5 linked regions of the Oryzias latipes genome follow. The protein of the gene in region 2 purifies or fractionates together with the protein of the main gene of each other region. This does not show direct contact. Links are inferred from orthologs where the notes say so. Each region holds a gene or a part of one and is shown on either strand. Other genes may lie near its edges.

What was found.
Region 1: the proteins of sin3b (region 2) and gatad1 purify together in Homo sapiens (affinity purification with mass spectrometry; 5 studies listed by BioGRID and IntAct, with this or other methods). This does not show direct contact. The link is inferred for Oryzias latipes from reciprocal best matches to the Homo sapiens genes SIN3B and GATAD1.
Region 3: the proteins of sin3b (region 2) and suds3 purify together in Homo sapiens (affinity purification with mass spectrometry; 3 studies listed by BioGRID and IntAct, counting the BioPlex papers as one, with this or other methods). This does not show direct contact. The link is inferred for Oryzias latipes from reciprocal best matches to the Homo sapiens genes SIN3B and SUDS3.
Region 4: the proteins of sin3b (region 2) and kdm5a purify together in Homo sapiens (affinity purification with mass spectrometry; 4 studies listed by BioGRID and IntAct, with this or other methods). This does not show direct contact. The link is inferred for Oryzias latipes from reciprocal best matches to the Homo sapiens genes SIN3B and KDM5A.
Region 5: the proteins of sin3b (region 2) and arid4b purify together in Homo sapiens (affinity purification with mass spectrometry; 3 studies listed by BioGRID and IntAct, with this or other methods). This does not show direct contact. The link is inferred for Oryzias latipes from reciprocal best matches to the Homo sapiens genes SIN3B and ARID4B.

What each region holds. Positions count from the first base shown.
Region 1 is NC_019869.2:23,121,614-23,125,633, reverse strand, and holds gatad1 (GATA zinc finger domain-containing protein 1), read left to right. Parts: upstream 1-1,337; 5' UTR 1,338-1,434; coding exon 1,435-1,515; exon of another isoform or gene 1,516-1,608; coding exon of another isoform or gene 1,609-1,674; coding exon 1,675-1,788; intron 1,789-1,867; coding exon 1,868-1,990; intron 1,991-2,064; coding exon 2,065-2,124; intron 2,125-2,972; coding exon 2,973-3,156; intron 3,157-3,233; coding exon 3,234-3,424; 3' UTR 3,425-3,508; downstream 3,509-4,020. UniProt on the Homo sapiens protein: Component of some chromatin complex recruited to chromatin sites methylated 'Lys-4' of histone H3 (H3K4me), with a preference for trimethylated form (H3K4me3).
Region 2 is NC_019862.2:32,325,048-32,328,560, reverse strand, and holds part of sin3b (paired amphipathic helix protein Sin3b), read left to right. Parts: intron 1-1,785; coding exon 1,786-2,145; intron 2,146-2,425; coding exon 2,426-2,572; intron 2,573-2,740; coding exon 2,741-2,869; intron 2,870-3,513.
Region 3 is NC_019867.2:3,527,027-3,531,231, reverse strand, and holds the start of suds3 (sin3 histone deacetylase corepressor complex component SDS3), read right to left. Parts: upstream 2,810-4,205; 5' UTR 2,456-2,809; coding exon 2,344-2,455; intron 1,740-2,343; exon of another isoform or gene 1,643-1,739; coding exon of another isoform or gene 1,627-1,642; intron 950-1,626; coding exon 880-949; intron 794-879; coding exon 738-793; intron 1-737.
Region 4 is NC_019881.2:6,886,975-6,890,487, forward strand, and holds part of kdm5a (lysine-specific demethylase 5A), read left to right. Parts: coding exon 1-42; intron 43-1,134; coding exon 1,135-1,297; intron 1,298-1,378; coding exon 1,379-1,498; intron 1,499-1,591; coding exon 1,592-1,786; intron 1,787-2,514; coding exon 2,515-2,696; intron 2,697-2,790; coding exon 2,791-2,915; intron 2,916-3,513. UniProt on the Homo sapiens protein: Histone demethylase that specifically demethylates 'Lys-4' of histone H3, thereby playing a central role in histone code. Does not demethylate histone H3 'Lys-9', H3 'Lys-27', H3 'Lys-36', H3 'Lys-79' or H4 'Lys-20'.
Region 5 is NC_019873.2:28,248,717-28,252,818, reverse strand, and holds the start of arid4b (AT-rich interactive domain-containing protein 4B), read left to right. Parts: upstream 1-1,296; 5' UTR 1,297-1,491; intron 1,492-1,819; exon of another isoform or gene 1,820-1,916; intron 1,917-1,941; exon of another isoform or gene 1,942-2,061; intron 2,062-2,135; exon of another isoform or gene 2,136-2,922; intron 2,923-3,022; 5' UTR 3,023-3,063; coding exon 3,064-3,069; intron 3,070-4,102. UniProt on the Homo sapiens protein: Acts as a transcriptional repressor. May function in the assembly and/or enzymatic activity of the Sin3A corepressor complex or in mediating interactions between the complex and other regulatory complexes.

The sequences.
Region 1 (4,020 bases), on a different chromosome or scaffold from region 2:
GTCACAGCCCGTAATCTGTTACATAGAAAGTTGTCAATCAAATCGGCCAATACTATTATTAAATCATTTTAAAACGCAATAAATCGATATGTAATTATTTCACTTTATTTATTTTCTTAATTTATTCATTTTCTTTTGTTGTAGTTGTTGTTTTTCAATTTTCAATTGTTTTTGTTCCTGAACAGTTCTTTGTTTTTGGTGTGAACTTCATTACTTATTTCTGTATTTTGAAAAAAAAAAAAAAAAAGTTTTTACATGTTTTTTACAGTTGATTACATGTTTTGCAGACCACATGTTTTATACACTTTTGCAGCTGTATTTATTTAATATTTATTTATTTAATAAGAATCTCATTTTTGATAATAATTTTCCTAATAATTGTAATAATAATTTTAACTATTTAATATGAATGTCATTTGTGATGTCCTTTTTTGATGTTATATTATATAGATTATTTCTGAATGTCGTTTTTGCTGCCACAGATAAATGAAATTTCCCCATTGTTGGATTAATAAAGTTATCTATCTATCTATCTATCTATCTATCTATCTATCTATCTATCTATCTATCTATCTATCTATCTATCTATCTATCTATCTATCTATCTATCTATCTATCTATCTATCTATCTATCTATCTATCTATCTATCTATCTATCTATCTATCTATCTATCTAGTAAAAGCTAGATATGATGTCAGCAAAAACTGATCAGTCAGTCATTCCAGTCTATTGTATGGAAACACTTATAAATTTAGCAAAGACATGTGACCATACAGTATGGTAGAATGTTATAATAATAGTCCCTTTGTATTATTTTAATTTGGAAAAAACAAAAGTGGGCTAAACTTTAGAAAACTAAAATGTGAATGGATTTTTCATAAATTCTTGTTTACTTGTTTGTTTGCACACAAATTTATTTACACTCTATTAGCTTGCAAGAAATTCAAGGAACCTGGAAAACTTCATTTGCACTGTCCGGTACCCAGGTATTTCTCTCTGAGTGACACTGGTACAAGTTTTAGCTTTCCTGGATCCATTTTAGGTCAGTGAATCGGATCACTGCAGCAACTAAAAATGTCATGAATTACATTTTTGTAAAAGTAAATCGTTACACCCCTACTAGACAGCAAATTGTGGAAAAACTGGATTTAAGTTAATCAAAGCTCTGTAAAATGTTTGCAGCATAAATTAAATCTACTTGTAAATTTTTATTTTGGACGAAAAATAGTTTTTAAAATGCAGTTTTTATTCAGTTTCACAAGCACTATAACTAAAAAGTTAGACAAATCGGACTGTGCTTCACACGTGTCCACTAGGTGGCGGTAGCGCAAAAATTAGACGGTTAACCGACCGAACCTAAATTGCAGACAAAGAGCGAAGCTAATATCCGGTAAAAACAATAGTTGAGCGACTACGTTTAATTGCTACAATGGATGGCAGTTATTTTGGACAAATGTTTGCAATTGATCTCTCGGAAGACCAGACATTTTGTGACATCTGCTGAACAAAGATTAGTGAGTAGTTGTTAGCATTTTTAGGGTGAATCGAGCATCTTCCTCTAGTTTCCTTCGTACTACGTCGGCGTCGTTTTCCTGAAAAAAAAAAAAATGCCGCTTGGTTTGAAACCGTGTTGTGCTGCGTGTAAGACGAACTCTTCCTCCATGTGGAAAAAGGGAAGCCAAGGGGAGATCCTGTGCAATAACTGCACGGGGAAGAGCAGCAGCGCCACGGCGGCAGGACCTTCCATGTCATTCAGCGCTCAGCCCAGTAATGGCGGAGGGAAGCAGGTCAGTCAGTCAAAGGAGGACTCAAACTCCCAGCAACTTCTCCTTTGCTCAGCATCAAACCACGTCTGTTTCTTTGTAGTCCAAGCAGGAGATACACCGGAGGTCTGCGCGGCTGAGAAGTACCAAATACAAAGCTCCTGCTTCTGAGAAGAAAGTGTCAACAAAAGGAAAAGGAAGGAGACATATTTTCAAACTAAAAAATGTCAGTTAAAAAAAATAACCAAAAATCATTCTTCCTGTCATCTTTTATTTTAACCTGTAAACTCTTCCCCACAGCCAATCAAAGCTCCTGAATCTGTAGCAACGATCGTCACTTCAGAATCTGTATTTTATAAGGTATTGTGATTATTATTCCAATCATTTGTTTGTCCGTGTTATACTGTTGGTCTGCAACCTGTGGCTCCGGGGCCACAGGTTGCTCTTTTACCCCTCCACTGTGGCTCTCTGATTAAAGAAAAATAACGTTGTGATTTTAAAATATAACTGTAATGTAAAAAATAATTATAAATAAGTAGGAAAGTAAACTTACACAAACTTTATTCAACTCATCCACAAACAGTTGAAGGACAGTACATATCAAAAACATTTTTGACAGTTTTTTTTAGCGCAGTGTACTGCAGAAAATCAATTGGAGGTCAGTAAGCACAATTAGGGAGGATTTTTGAACAAATTGAATGATTTTAAATTTGTTTACGTTTGAAAAATATGGTAAGGTTCACTTAATTAGCTCTGATTTAATTATGGTTGGTTAGGATTTACACATTTATGGCTGAGATTCACCACAAGCGATAAAATAATGTGTTGTTTTTGTTTTGTTTTTTATCACTGCTAACAATACGCCAATACCCTTATTGCATTGAGATGATTCTATATGACACCGGCTGTCTTTTATTTTGAAAGGAATTCATGTGAACTTCTGTCAAAAGTTTAAACTGTTTCATTTGTTTTAAAAAGGCTATTTTATCTTTGTTTGTTTGATTTCTGCCCAAAAAAGCAACAGTTCATTTATATTTATCATAATAATAATAATGACATCAATAAATATTTTTAAGGGTGAAGTGAGATTTTGTGGATTCTGTTGGGTTCAGTGAGAAATCGACCCAAATGGCACTTTTAGCGTTGAAGGTTGCATGCCGACTACTGTCTATGTTTTTGTTTCTTTTAACATCTCTTCACAAATACAGGGGGTTTACTACCAGACAGGTGATGTGATCAAGGTGATAGATGAGGATGACGGGAAGCCCTACTATGCTCAGATTCGAGGATTTGTGCAGGACCAGTACTGCGAAAAAAGTGCAGCACTAACGTGGCTCATTCCCACCCAGGCCAGCCCAAAGGACAGGTTTGATCCTGGGACTTACATTGTCGGTGAGAACTCCTACAGAATAACATATTTCTTAAGTGATTTTCTGGTCTTGGGTTAAGCATCATGTGTTGTTTTCCAGGTCCAGAGGAAGATCTGCCCAGAAAGATGGAGTACCTTGAGTTTGTGTGCCATGCACCCTCTGAGTATTTCAAGTCCCAGAGCTCCCCGTTTCCCACTATCCCCATATGTCCTGAAAAAGGCTACATTTGGACCCATATAGGACCTTCACCAGCATTCACTGTCAAAGAGTCTATCAGCACCACCAGTTAACAAACAGTATTGGTAAAATAATTGTAATTATGCAGAGTATGTACATGTTTGTATTTGTAAATAAAACCAACTTTTGTTTTTCATTTCTCATCTCACGACTTTAATTCTTTAAAAACATAACAAAATAACAAAAAGACTATTTGAAATTTCTTGATTTTCTAAGTTGCAGGAGGAAAGTAGACCCTCCCCCTCACAGGGAGGTTTTTGACTTTATCAGCACTTTTGGGCTTTTATGGTTTCTAGCTTTTATTTTCACTCAAAAAAAACCTTTTTATAAAATTTCTGAGCCTTTTAGGAAACATGTCTAATATTTTTTCATAGTTCTGATAACACTAAGGTCATGAGCCACGGCTCCTGAGCTACTTCTGAGCTTTAAGATGCCAACATTGTTGCATATCTTTTAATAAAAAATGTTAACTTATAAACAATAAAATCTGCACAGTAAAACAAAATGTTGCCCTATCGGTGTGAAATAGCTGTAAAGAAGACTAAAGCTAAATTATTTAGAATTTTTTTTTTTTATTAGCTGACATTTTCAGTTAGTGAGGTTTCCACATACGGAATTTGCAAAAAAATAAGTTCTGTCAAATTCAGTC
Region 2 (3,513 bases):
AAGTCATAGAATCAATAGGTAACGGCTAAACTAAACCAGTCATTTTCTTGGACATAGTTCCTGTAGAGCGGCGTTGTGGGCGGGACCGTTGGCGTGGTGAAAGCCAGTCCTCCTTCCCATCATCTGTTTACAGTTTACACCCTCTCCCACTAGCTTACTGCCCCTCACACCCCCAACCTAGCATTAGCAGTGCAACAAAAACAGTGATCAGATCCATCCAGCCGTCCAGTTCTGATCCAGATTCCAGCTCAGACCAGGAAAACAAAGAAGATCATGGATCTGTTGGTCTGCAGGTGGAGGATCAGAATGGAGCGGGGGCTGGAGGCTGTCCATTGTAGTTTTTTTATACCATGGCCCGGGTGAATACTTGAATCTGATTGGCTGCTGGGTGTGCATTAAAAAGTGATATACCACAGGATAACTGCACGGTGAAAAAAGAAGTTCCGGTCACCTAGCTTAAATGTTCTGTATCACTACGCCGGCTTCTTTAAAACAACCTTTTGCTTCATCATTTGGACAAAAACAAGCGGTAAAAAGTGAACTTTCTCTCTGAACTGATGCTTTATTCAACCCATCGGGAAGATCAGCATAGATATATATCGCCGAATCTTGACTGCAGCAGTGATGCGGCGCGAACAAATAGTCCGCTTTTTGTGAGAAAAGTGATCCAAATCGGAACAAAAAACAAGAATTAAGTACCAAAAACAGGTTACTATTTATTGCTTTTGTAAGTGACCATGGTATAAGCGGGTTAATGGCCTTTGAAGTGTTCATTATCAGAACTAACGCACTTCGCGGAAGCACCCAGGCTTCCACGGTGTGCGTTAAAAAGTGATAATGCACACTTCGTCGGCCATTGACCCTTACACGTAACAACTATAGGCTTTTTATTTTGTCTTTATTTATTTATTTACTTATTCTTTCTGTTTCTCCTCCATCAGCAGAACAGGTTAAAAACAACATTTTGTTTTATCATAGTGTGTTTTTGAGAGAAAACTGATGTCTGAGTGATGGTTATTCACAAAACGCGGCCAAACTTTGGAGAGTTTGCTGCCATCAGATTGTATTAGTGCGTTTGACCCACATGAGCTGCAGATGTATTTGTTATTTAAACTTTGTGTGGAATAATGTCTCTTTGTGGGCTTATTTGCACTTTTGATGAACCTGGAACTGAATCCTCTGAATGTAACGTTGCTGTCGGATGTTTCCCAGAATGACAAACTGTCAGAGAAGATTCTGATTTTAGATGCATCCCATGGTGGAGTTTATGGATTTTGGAAATCATTTAATCATTTTGTCACTTCAGTTTTTGAAATCTATACACTTTCAATAATATTCCAATTGATTTGAATCATGATCGTCTTTGCTAAACTTAATCGTTTCATGTTTCTCACACAAAATGTTGCAAATTTGAGAGCTTATTGGATGACCTCATAGCGCTGTTATTGCATATGAAAATCTAAAAAGACACTTTTTTCTGCTCCTTTTTGCCTATAAATGTTTGCATTTATTTACAAAGTGCTTAAAGAAAATCTAAAAGCTCTCCATTGTGCTGTAAAACCAGATTGTTGTATTAAACTGTGGATTATTGGAGCTAAAGCTGCTTAATAAAAAGCTCAAATCAGTGTTATTTTTAATTTATGGAGTTTGAATTCTTTTGCTTTAAAAAATCCACTTTATTTCAGAGCCGATGTAATTATGTTTCATGTTCTTTAACATTTCATTTCTTTAATGTCTCATGCACTGTTTGCCCCCCCTGTCCACCCCCCCTGTCCACCCATGCAGGTGTCTCCGGGACAGCACACTAAAAATCTGACCCCTCCTGCAGTGGGCTCGTCCTCAGGCCCCGCCTCCACGGTCCACGCTGAAGCTGGACCGGTCCAGACCAGTGAAGTCAAGGCGCCTTCGTCCGATTCCCTGTCGTCCAGCTCGACGGGACCCGCAGAGCCCCCCAGCAGACTTTCTCTCCCCCTGACTAAAGAGAGCCACAATCCGGCCGCCGTCTCCTCGGTGTCCCCGCCGGCGTCAGAGACCAGTCCTGTTGAGTTTGACAGTGCCATCAGCTATGTTAACAAGATTAAAAACCGTTTTCTGGACCACCCAGAGATTTATAGAGCCTTCCTAGAAATCCTCCACACCTATCAGGTAAAAACTGGCTGATTAGGAAGCAGATTTCCAGCTCCATAACTGAAACGTTTTACATTTATCACAGTGTACAGACGAGACTGCAGCGGCTTGTTGGCCGTTTTATTCCTGAAACGTGTGTCATGGGGTGGATGTGTCAGAATGCACGCCATTCATCACTATTGCATCAAAACGGCTGTTTTACAAGATATTGATAACTGTAGATGTGATTGTTCTTTAAAAGAAAGAGTGTTTCCCCCTTTGGCTCCATGTCAACACGGTTTCCCCCGTCACTTTGCAGAAGGAGCAGCTGGAAGCCAAGGAGAGTCGGGGCAGCAGCGGCATGACTGAAGACGAAGTCTTTTCCAAAGTGGCCAGCCTTTTTAAGGGGCAGGAGGATCTTCTGGCTGAGTTTGGACAGTTCTTACCCGATGCTAAGAGATCTCTGGTCAGTGAAGCTCCAGCATGTGAACTTCTAACCTTAATGAAATAAGTGAAGAGTCACAAACGAACCTGGTTTTTCCGGTTTGTCCGGCTTCTCCAATGGAGACAGACTAGCTGTATTTGCTTTTCAGAATGTCTCTGCTGATATTTACTTCTTCTTTTGCTAATTTAGTTCACGGGGAGTTCGCTGACGGGGAGCAAAGAGCCGCTGAAAAAGTCTGAGGAAGACGATGTATCAAGCAAACAGAACAAGAAGAGGCCCCGGCCCGTCCTCCTGCAGCACATGTCTCCTCTGCTGAAGGTATGCTCGTGCTTCTTATGGACGCATTTGTCCAAACGACGCCGGCCAAAAGTGACAAAATGCTTCAGTTAAGAAGAAAGCTTGATTTAAATAGTGAGAAATGCTGCAGTTTGCCTTTATTGTGTGATGTTGAAACACAATCGATTCATTTCATAGCTTTATCAGTGTTTAAAGAATGCAAAGTGGCACAGAATGAACATTTTACCTTGGAACTGTTGTTCCTTTCTGTCCCACTAACCCCTGTGTTTGTGTAGCTTCATCTGACTGGACCCCTTTACTAACTCTGAATTACTTTATTCTTGTTGATGAGGCTTTGTTGAAGTATTAACCGGCCCTGGCTTGACATGTTGTGTTTTTTTTCCTGGTTTCTAACAGTTGTCTATTCTTCAATCAGAAGGATTTCAATGTTAAACTGTAAACGTATTCTACAGTTAATCTGAGTAAAAACCAAACCTAAGGGGGAAAAAGTCGCGTTTATTCACTGCAGGGTCTGATGTATTTAATGACAGCAAAACACAGAATTAAGAGAAAGGAAGGTGTGTTTGCATACGAAAGGACCCCCCATTACAAGATTTGACCTAAAGCTCGATAAGATGAAAATGTGCACCTTTAACCTTTTCTTTGATTTAAATCAAAAAAGGCCA
Region 3 (4,205 bases), on a different chromosome or scaffold from region 2:
TTGACAAAAACAAACATACTCATAGTTTCTTTTGGGAGAAAAGAGTCGGAGAAGAAACAAAAGAGGACTTCAAAATAAAGGACAGCTGCATTTATCAGAAAAAAACAGTCTTAAATCCAAATATGGACCATAATAATAATGAATAATATTCAGCAAGTTATGAGGATGCTGCTAATAAACTTACTCAAACAGTGGATTAGTGTTTTTTTTAATAATGTTTAAAGAGTTCAGAGTTTTTAAGCTTCCTCCTTGATGGCTGTGGGTTCAGGGAAACTCTAGATCACATTTTAATCGTTCCTACATGAAATCTAGTGTTCAAATTAAGTTTAAAGCAGATATTTTACAGAGGATGAAGATGAACATTACCCTCAAAACCTAAAGAAAGCAGGAGGCAAAAAACAATAAAAGAACTCAGAGGCCCACTTCAGCCCCGTCCGTGAAAATACCGTTTGATTTTAAACCGATCTGTGGCCTGAAAAAGGTTGGAGATCTCTGGTTTACACCCACATCTTTGCTTTAAGAAAAAAGCCAGATCTAAAACCAGGGGGGGCACCTGAGGGCTGGATTTGTTCTCCAGCACATCCTAGACACACCTGGTGATCCAGGTAACCAGTAGAGCAATGATATCTGGGAAAACATGCAGACCTTTCCTACCACAAACAAACCCCTTCAGACATACTTTGGTTTTAATGACGCACTCTGAAATGATGGCGTTCTGTGCAGGCCTGCATCTTTACCTTCTTGTAACTGTTGCAGCTGTCTCTTCAGCGAGGCCAGCTTGTCTTGGTACATTCTGTCAGGAAAACAAAACCACAAATAAGGGTTCGGCTCAGGCCACGCACACACACACTAGTACACACAAAGACACAAATCCCTTACTGCTCTTTGATTTCCACATAGTCATCTTCGTCATGCTTGGCCAGGTCCGTCTCACTGGCATCTTCTGTGTCTTTGAGGGGGGGGGGGGGGGGGGGGGGGACAAAGAGACTGAGTTGAAGTTTGAACTCACTTAAACCCATCTGATCATGTCAGCGGCTCCCTCCCCGGAAGGAAAGACAGACAGACAGACAGCACAGGTCTTATTGCAGACCAGCCTGGGGGGCTCCGGTGAGGTCATACTGAATGCCCCCCAGGTCAGATCCACGTTTGTTTTTAAGCCTCACGTCAGTTCAACTCAAAAGGGACAAAGTTAAAGTTCGAGGCGGAGGAATGACGGTGCAGATGTCCGCGTGAAAGTCAAACATTTGCCGCATGCTGCTGGGCTTTGATCCTCCGCGCTCCCGCTGTCTGTCTGTCAGGTCCAGCAGCGGCTACCCCCCTCGGAGCGATGCCGGGACGTTTCTACCCCCCCAGAAGCACAACGATGACGCGATCGACTTCACAAACGTGCCGTTTTCTTCGTGAACCCGTGGGAAAAAGACACGGACAGAGAGGCCCACGTAAGCTGACGCAGCGCTTTCGGTTTCAGTTAGCTTTGAGGGCTAGCTAAAGTTAGCTCCAACAGTTGTTCCAAGGAGATCGGAGCGATCGGGACCGTCAGCACACACGCGCGCGCGCGGAGAGAAGGGGAGATAAAAGCTACGCTACGCAGTTCTTCTGGAGGTCAGGAGCACCAAACAAGCAGACCTGGCAGGGCTGTCATCGCCTCGATGCGCCGGGTTCCGCTGCGATCGCCTGACCGGAGTGTGAAAGGGCAGAACGGTGGACACGGCAGGCAGGCCGACCTGTCAACGCTCAGAGCTAAAGTTACGTAGGAGGGCGGCTGATTAACGCTGCGGACGGACGCTGCGGGGAATTGCACTGAAATCCTGCGGTAACTAACTGCAGGGGAGGGAGGTACTCCTGTGACTTACTCTGCAAATCACTCACTTAAACCCTTTTATTAGACGATTCCAATTTTTTCGAGCAGAAATGTGACATTTGAGCATAAACATTCATGCACCACAAAAGGCAACCCTTTAGGAAATAGCGATAGAAAAGGGACTCATTCTAATTATTTATTAGTGGCTAATTATTTGATATATTTGTTTTAATAAAGTCACTTTACTCAATTATTTTTATTTGTTTTCCTTCCTTTGTTTAAAAAAAACAATTCGGGAACCAAATGTTAGCTTGAAGCTAAGCCTAGGCAGTACAAACTCTACCACTTTCACGCTCAATAATCAAACCTCACATGTTTACCCAAAATATATATTTTCAAATCCCAAACTTAACTTAACTGTAGGTGCTGTTTCAACGAACAACAAGCGAAACATGTGCAATGGCCGCGCATTTCCGTTTCTTCTCCAATAAATAGACGGAGCCCGCGAACCACAGAGAAAGGTTCTACTGATTTAACGTTACCTTCTTCGGAGTCTCTGCCCCTGAAGCTCCGATCATCGTCGTCATCCACGCTGTCGAGCTCCTCCTCGTCGTTGTAATAATCCACCACGGGCGATATTAAAGTGGACGCCATTTATTTATTTGGAGGATGTAAACAAAACAAAATAAACAATCGCTCGGTGTTTTGCTGCTCGCTTGAAACTGCGCCTACAACTGCGAGGACCCCCAAGCGCTAAGCTGTCCAAGCTTGTGCCTGACGAGTATTCCGTTTAAAAATTGCACAAAATATACTTTATTGTATTTTATTTAACTAGAAGGACGAACATATAATTAGTTTTATTCACCTTGGAGAATAAACACATCCGCTTTAATTTTGTATCTGCAATGGAAAAAAAGGAAAAAACAGGCAATTGCAAGAGATTCGATACAGTATTTGGTGCTGTCAATGGCCGTTTATTTATTTACTTCTTTTTGTGTGGGGTTTGTGTGTTCTGGGTTATGAAATTATTCAATTGATCATGTTAATTGGGTAATTTGGTAGCCGTTATCTGACATTGGGAGTAAACTGATGAACCTGGAAAAATCTGGTTATAGTGTGAATACCACAGGATGATGGACTCCATAGGCTTTCAAGAGACAACTGTCTTTTTTGCTGCATGAAGAAATAAAAAAGGACAAGAGAACCTTAAAGTCTTTTTGTAAATCTATAAGCTGTGGTTATGGCTAATTTTAATAAAAATTAGTTAATTATTTAATAAAATAAGCAAAAACACATGAGCCTTAAGTCTCCACACATAATTCTTCAAATTAATTTTATAATAAACCACTTTTTTATTGCCAAACATCTACTTGTCTCCAGACACATCAGGTCCAATTAGCACAGTTATGTGATACTCCCAGTTATAAATTTAATGGATAAAGATATAATTTAATACTCCTAAGTTCCCTAGAAAGAGCCATTATCAATTTCCCAGAAGTGACCAGTTTGGATGAAGAATCATACAGAAAATCATAAAAGAAGCAGAATAAGAAGATGGAAAGAAGATCAGACCCTCGATTGACTCAGTTCAGGTTAGAACCCATGATTTAACGGCCAGACAGAGACTTTTGGACAAACATGGATCCATAGGAGAGTTCAAGGAGAATCACACTGTGAGCAACAGGAACATTTGGATTATCCACAGAACTTTAGGACAAATGTGACTCAAGAAGAACTGTCTTTCTGGATAAACAACAGTGGCGTTTCACTGAAATAAAAAATGTCACATCAAAGCAAATCTGCATCCTTGCACTCATTTAAATAATCCCCATAATCACATTTTTTGTTTGAATATTTTTTTTCTGCTCTGTAATGTCTTTTAAACCTGACAAATTAAAAAAACAACAACATTGTTTTATATCTCAAACCTTTTTTGTCTGTCTGTCTGTCTATAATTTACAATGTTCCAATTTAGTCTGAAGAAGGATTCATGCCCAGCCCAACCAGGATGCTCTCCTGGTTGGGCTGGGGCGGCGCTCTCTTTCCCTCCGTGCTTCCCTGGCCTCTGGCTCTGGGGGCCTTGCGGCGGCCCTGCTGGCCCTGGCCTGGGTGGCGGGCTTGGTCGCCCGGGCGGCGGTTGTTCCCTGCCGGTTCCCGTGTGGCGTTGGGGGAATTCCGGCTGCCGCTGCTGCTGCGGCGGGGGTATGGGTGTGGGGGTGGCTGGGCGCTCCTCCTCCTTCTTTTCACATTCCACCATCCATTTTAGAAGAACATAAAACCTCACCTGAGCACAGGTGTTAGCTCACCTTTGCACTAATAGCTTGCATGATTGAATGACTGAAATATTTCACACTAGTTGGTTTTAAGGCATAAGTATGTGTGTGAACACTATCTGTTTTGTGTA
Region 4 (3,513 bases), on a different chromosome or scaffold from region 2:
CATCGAGGACCACTGGAGTTACTCCATCAACTTCCTTCATTGGTAGGTCGATGAAGGTTCTCCTCCATTCAGGTGACGTCTTCTTGACGTTGGCCATCTGGACTTAAAGACTTCTGCTTAGATGAATGGGGAAACAGGATTTAACTTCAAGACTTCGTTGGTGAGAAGCGACCCTGTCTTCTTGCCATGTTTTTAAACGTTCGCCTGTAGTCTGAGGTGCAAACGTGTGCAAAGCACGTAGAACCAAAGATCACGAGTTTGTCCGCACTTCAAAACATCCAACATCTGCGAAGCTGTGGGAAGCAGAACGATCTTCTCATATCTTCCAAATCATCTGTGCTCCTCCAAGAGTTTGTAAATGGATTTTTCAGAACTCCTGTAGGCTTAATTAAATGCGCCCCCTCCCCCCCCGTATGTTGTCCCGTACAGATGCTGCAGGTTTTTGGTTGTCTGGACCCATGGAGGGTTGCAGAGAGGGAGGTGCTGCATCTGAAGAGGAGCATAGGTGTGTCTTGGAGGTCTCTTGTGGCTCATGGAGCCACCTTAAGGGACGTCATGAAAACAGACATATCTGAACTTTGGCGAAGAAGACTCGTTGCTCAGCTTTGGCCCGTGACCGGTTGATGATGTGATCAGTGAGCGGAATCCAAAAACAAACACGATGGAGGATCTGATTGTTCTCCTCATGAACTTTATGATATTTTTTATATTTGCATCAAAACGATCCGAAAAAGTTATTCCTCTGACTAACAGCAAGCTGTCCAACCGGGTCACAGACAGACGGAAGTACCGCTGAAAGCAGCCGTCATTCAGATGATGAACCTCGCCGCACTGGGAGAGTCTCTGAATGATCTCATGAACCCAGATGTGCTAATTGATGCTTTTATAGACCTTTTTAAAATAGATAAATGCTCCCATGTTGGGATCAAATTAAGAATTTTTAAGTTTATGTCAAGTTTCTGAACACGTTATCGGAGAAGCACGCAGGAGAAATTTTGTTGCAAGTCCAAAGAGAGGCAGCATAATTTGACAATTTGAAACGCAAGTTTCATTGGGTGTGGTTTTAGCATAATGCTTAGTTTTCTTTATCTTTTTGAACTTTGTAAAACTGCTTTTGCTTCTTCTGCTGTTAAGGGGTGAACCCAAGACGTGGTATGGCGTGCCGGCCGCTGCCGCAGAGAAACTTGAAGCTGTGATGAAAAAGGTGGCGCCCGAGCTGTTCGACTCCCAGCCCGACCTCCTCCACCAGCTGGTCACCACCATGAACCCCAACGTCCTCATGGAGCACGGCGTTCCCGTACGCGGCCACAGCTTGGGGGTTCGACCTAAAGGGCTGATCGTGGAGTCCAGGTTATGACCAGTTTCTCCCGATGTGCAGGTTTACAGGACCAATCAGTGTGCGGGCGAGTTTGTGGTCACCTTCCCCAGAGCTTACCACAGCGGCTTCAATCAAGGCTACAACTTTGCGGAAGCGGTCAATTTCTGCACAGCCGACTGGGTGACGAGAGACGAACAACTCATAAATCACATCAGAGGTTTTTCTATTTCTGTGGATTAAGGCTTTTTTTAATGTTTCAATTGTGCGTCGTAGTTGCCGATGGGACGCCAGTGTGTTGCTCATTACCGCCGCCTTCACCGCTACTGCGTCTTCTCCCACGAAGAGTTGCTCTGCAAGATGGCCGCCGACCCAGAGAGCCTGGACGTGGAGCTGGCCGCTGCTGTTTACAAGGAGATGAGTGACATGATGGAGGAGGAGAGCAAACTCCGGCAGGCTATGCAGGAAATGGTAACCATCACCTTTCTGGTGGTTCTGACTTTGCGGTAACCCTAGCGTTCTCAATGATCCGTTCCCACTGAACGCCATTTGTGCGTGATAGTCGACGCTCGTCTAAAAGTGTCTTCATCAATCTGCCACTTTGCAATGTGTGGGAGGAGCTACCCCCAAACGTTTTTAGCCTCATTGCTAAATCATGGAAGACACGGATGATGTCGAGAGATCAGGTTTTATTTATTTTGAAGAGCTCTCCAAAAACATCGGTAATCACGTCGAGGTTCATGAGGTCATTCAGAGACTCCCAGTACGGTGAGGTTCACCATCTAGTGCAGGAAATGTGTTTAAAATAGGCTTTAGTAGTAATTCTATCTCTCTGTGATCCAGTTTGATGTCTTGCTGTCTCGCATTAGTCCAATGAGGGTAAAAAAATATCAATAAAATTGGAGGATTTTTAAAATGATTTCTTTTATGTGTCGATACGAATAAGAACACAGACCAAAACGGAGTCCCTGATTGGTTCATGTGAGGTGAAGCTTCACTGAAGTTTAGATATTTAAACTCTGGAAACTTTTGCCACTTGTCCGAATTTTCGCCGCTCAACCCAAAATGTGCTGCTGATAGAAGAATTGCGACGCTCAAAATGGACTGTTCATTGAATTAACATTACAAATAGACATTTGCGTTTGAATGTAGCCTAAAATCCAACCTCATTGGTCTGTTGTTTTATTTTTATTTTTCAGGGGGTGCTGTCCTCGGAACAGGAATTTTTTGAGCTTGTTCCAGACGACGAGCGGCAGTGCCACAAGTGTAAGACCACCTGCTTCCTGTCTGCACTGACCTGCTCCTGCAGCCCCACCAGGCTGGTGTGTCTCCATCACGCTGGAGATCTGTGTGACTGTCCTCTTGGAAACGCATGTCTGCGGTGCGACCTTGTCTTATTGAAGCCACGAGAACATAAAAAAACAAACCCTCCCTTTCTTTTTTGAATGACTTGCTCTCTTAAATCCCTGCCTTAGCTATCGTTATGACTTGGAGGAGTTCCCTTCCATGCTGTACGGGGTAAAGGCTCGGGCGCAGTCCTATGATACCTGGGCAAAAAGGGTGGCAGAGGCCTTATCTGCAGACCAGAAGAACAAAAAAGGTCTGGATATTACAGTTCTGTGTCTTATTCAGACTTTTGTAATGACTTTTTTTAAACTTTATCTAAAAAGAACCTTCAAAACATTAAAGTATAAAAGCTGTCTTAAAAAACTTGTTAATGCTAAATGTTTTGTAGTCACCTGTTTACTTTTTTCCGTCTCATAGAAAAACTACATTTATCACCATTATTATCATAGTTACATTATAGAAAACATGTTGACCTGCCTATTAGCTGCTAAATGTTTTAATAAAATTTGTGGAAAAACATGTTTTTTGAAAAAGATTTTTAAAACTTAAAAAAAAAATGTAAGATTTAATTTACAAGCAATTAATATTATGTGGAGACATCAGGGGAAAAGGCCTATAAACTACAAAAATACAACAAAAATAACTATTTTTTATGAAAGTAAAGTAAGTAAATCTTTATTTATAGAGCACTTTCTCACAGAAAGACTCACAAAGTGCTTCACGATGTTAAAACAATACAGAATCAGAGACAGAGTGGCACAGGGAGTCTAAAGCAGGTAAATTCCAGTAAAACAGGGATAAAAGTAAACAAACTAACAAAAGTGAACCCAAGTAAAAGTCAGCAAAAAGCC
Region 5 (4,102 bases), on a different chromosome or scaffold from region 2:
TTTTCATTGTCGATTTAGTTCAAAACCAACAAAACAAAAATCCTACTCTGCACATTACTGCGGTCTGTATACTGATCTAAAATATTCTGTTAGGTTTACACGGAACTGTAGGGGCAAACGAGGATTCATTCCTGACATACGTTAAAAATATAGAAGACTAAGCATAAACGTTACACACATAAGGCATTTCTGAGAATGCATTCAATAAAAATGTTATTTCGTTGAGGGGAAAACATGAACAAGCAGCACATTTGACATGACTAGACTTGTATAAGCATCCAGTTTAGCCGTTTAATCACACGACTGTTGGCAATAAATTAGTTTATTACATCAGAGTAGAAGAACTAAAAACAAAGATCTAGTTGGCATCAAGAAGAAGTCATTTAACAGGATTGATTTAAACAGTGAAAGTGATTTTGACATTTTATTTTGAGATGTAAATTTATTTTTTAACTGATTTTCCATTAAGTTGTAGTTTTTTTCCATCATCACAGAACACTTTCTCGTACAAACACGTTATCAAATGTCACCCTATGAATAAAAACAAAACACATTACAGTGAACACTGCTGGGACACTCTGTGTGCTCTTGACCCCACCCACCTATCAGTTGCTGACAAGCCGCTCGTGAATTCCGGTTAGCCACGCTCCTAGCTAGCTAGCCTTAGCGGACCCACATAAATATCCCGCTGTGTCACCGATGACTTCTTATTATCTCCCACTTTCTTCAAAAATGAACGTCTGCGTTATTCGGAGCTCTCGATATTGTCTCCACATTCACGCGCTGAGCTCATTTTAGGTGCCTGCCTATATCCGCTCGATGCTATGCTATGCTAAGCTTTTAATGTTACAATGGCGCATTGTACAGACAGTTACCAGTCGAGCTGCCTTGAAAGAGCTAGCTTTATAAGCTGCGGTCAAACTACAGAGCAGGCGCAGAATGGTGGCTGACGTCTAACCGGGGTTTCCTTACTGAGTGATTGTTTCATTAGAAAATATCCACTGCCGGATGAAAGCGACACCTCACTGAGTCAATGTAAACAGCACTTTAATGATAATCGGGACACTCTGTAATACAAATCGAACGTACATGGATTTAGTAAATCTGGGTTTTGTAGTTTTTGCCCTGCTTCGTCAGAGCCACTCAGTATCACTGTAGATATTTTTTCTCCCAGAGGAGCCAATCACGGACCACGAAGATGTGCAATTATACTTTTTTATCCAATCAGAGAACAGATATTCGCGTAAGGCGGGAACGTTTGGCCTGTCAATCATTCTCAGGAGAGGGGAGGGGGGATCACGGAGAGACCTATGAGCCACTCAACAAGGCAAACAGCAGCTCTGCGAAAAGCACTTTTATCAATCCGCATCCAACATCAACCAGGGGCTAACAGACGACGTTAAAACCGGACTCCCTGCCTCCATAAATGTTCCTATGGATTATTAACACGCTTTTGTCGAAAAATCGGAGTTTATCAACTTGACAGCGTCGGTAAGTCGGCTTTTGTTCGGTATTTTCAACATTTTTTTCTAGCATGTTTCCCTGCTGCTACCCAAGTCGACCGTGACGTTAGCTAACTTGTTAACTAATAATGTTCTTCGGGGGGGAATGAATGAGTAAGTTGACCGGGCCGCAGATCATTTGGAAAATAGAAGAAGAAGAAAAAAGGAAAAAAAACTTGACAACAAAGTTGTATGGTTAGCCTCCCGGTTGAACGCAGAGAACAGCTCCGCTACGCGGCGGGACCGAAGCAGAGGAATCCTCGTCGTTGCGCCGCTTGTCACGGTGTTCTCCCACCGACCGACGGGGAAGTGAGATTATTCGGACCCGTTTTTTTGTGTGTGTGGCCCGGACCGCTTCGACGCGGCTGCGGGATGGGGGGTTTTAACCGCCGCGCCAACGGTGTAGTTTATCAGGTAAATTGCATTGTCAGTCGTTTCTTTTGTGCAGTCCTCCGCTCTTCGCGATCGACTTGTCCAGTAGCTCCTGGACTCGTTTATCTGTCGTCAAGTCGGTTCCGCGGATGGTTTCCTCCGCCTGACAGATCTAATCCCGGTTCATGTGAGCACTATTGTTGTGTTTAGTTTTATTTTTTCTTTTAACATATCTCCGTAGCATCGCGTTAACAGACTGACCGGACAGAAATCGTTGAGGACTCGGGTTTAAATGGATTCCCGTGTTTCGAGGCGGTTGTCGGTTGTCGGTGGTCGGTCACCGTCTGGGGCGGATGACATTGTATCCTCCGCGGTATTCCGGAGCCACAAAACGGGGGCTTCGACCTTGGCTCCTTACAAAAATACACGTTTAAAAAAATAATTTTAAATGAAGGCGACGTTGCAGCGGCGCAGACCGAGCTTGACCTTGTTGCGAACCGTTTCGTCGACTTTCTTTCTTTGTCGGGAGCGGAACCGCCAGCCCGGTAGCTCAGCTGCTGACATGTTTTCGGGGGAGACTTTTTTTAACGTGTCACCGCCGCCGAGTCGCACTTTATTCAACTTATGGTTGGACATTGCGACACAGCTCATGATTCTGCGTCTGCGGAGACGCTGTTTCTGGAGAAGCGGAAGGCGAACAAGAAGAAAGAAGTCCGAGTCCCGGAGGAAAACGGCTCGGTGAAGAGGCGTCAATATCGCGGAGCACATTTCGGCTCAGAAATGGCGTCATCCCCCTGCTGAACGGCTGGTGGTGTAGTCGGTGCGGCGCAGACGGCGGTCCGGGGGGCTCCAACCGCGTCGTCCCGATCGCCATCCGCGCCTTTGACCGCTCGGAGTGTGACAGGCGGCGGTACGGCAGCGTTACATAAACGCCTTAAAGGGCTCGATCCGCCCGTTGGAAAACACACACACACCCTGGTTCTATCTAGACCCAGTCTGATCTGAGCAGGTTCAAACAAAAGCACGAGGAAGCTGTGCACGCGCGCCCGCCGTTTCATCCATCAGTGATGTCATCATAACATCTTGTTGTGACAGACTGAAACTGGCTCCTTGCTTGTCTCATGGCTAACCGGATCCTCTGTTTTCAGCCCCGGATTTGTGGCTGTGCTCGCGCGGAGGACCCACGGAGATGAAGGTAGGCTCATTCATTCCGCCGCTTCCTGTCATCTAGATATTCTGCAAAACGCCAGGCTCCTCACTCCTCAGCCTGCATGAGGAAGAGGTTTAAAAGCAGACCTATGCACAAAGTAGAGTTCCTCACTTCAAAAAAACTGAAACTTTTCTCTCTGCTGTGTTTTGTGTTTAGAGATTTGAATGCTGAGTGTTGGTCCTTGTTAGAGTTGTGAAGATGAATGTGAGGCCGACATGAATATGATTGGATGTTATTGTTCTGCAATGATGTACAAAATATTATTATGGTCTTATTTTATGTGTTTGGCTTTAAATAATACTGGAAAAGGGACGTAAAACTTGAAGGGATCGTCTATCTGCTCTTGTAGCTCCAATCATCTGTTTTTAAAGTGTTCCCAGTGGTCTTTTAATTATCATTGCACCACTTTTGCCCCAAATCCAAAAAGCCTGTAACTTTCTAGGACATAGTTTCTGCAGAGCAGCAGGAGTTCGTCAGAAATTAGTGTCTAAGTTGTGGGCTGGTCTGTTGACTTGGAGTGAGACTGTGCTCATTTCCCATGATCTGTGTTTACATGGTCTCCCACTAGCCCCTCACACCCCCAACCTAACATTACTGGTGCAATAAAAATGACGAGCAGTAACAGATATCCAGCTGTACAGCTGTGCAAGTGGATGCATCAGAATGGAGCGGAGCAGGGTGCTTGTGGCCCCAGCTATTGTAGTTTGTACACAACGACAGACTTTCATCAACAGCATTTTTTTTGTCTGCTCATGATTCACATTGATTTAAATAAAGTAATACTCAGATGTGCAATTTGAGTCCTAATTTTCTTTATATAAATCCTCCACTGTGTGAAAAATGTTACATCAAAACAATGTTTGTTGGGTGTTTAACAAAGCTCTAATAGCATTTTATGTAATTTTTGACCTGCAGACATTCCGGTCATACCAGAGTTCTAGCGGTGCTCTGTAGCAATAAGAGGAGATCCCACACATCTCTTCTGCACCGTAACATTCGTCTCATTGCTTGCATATTT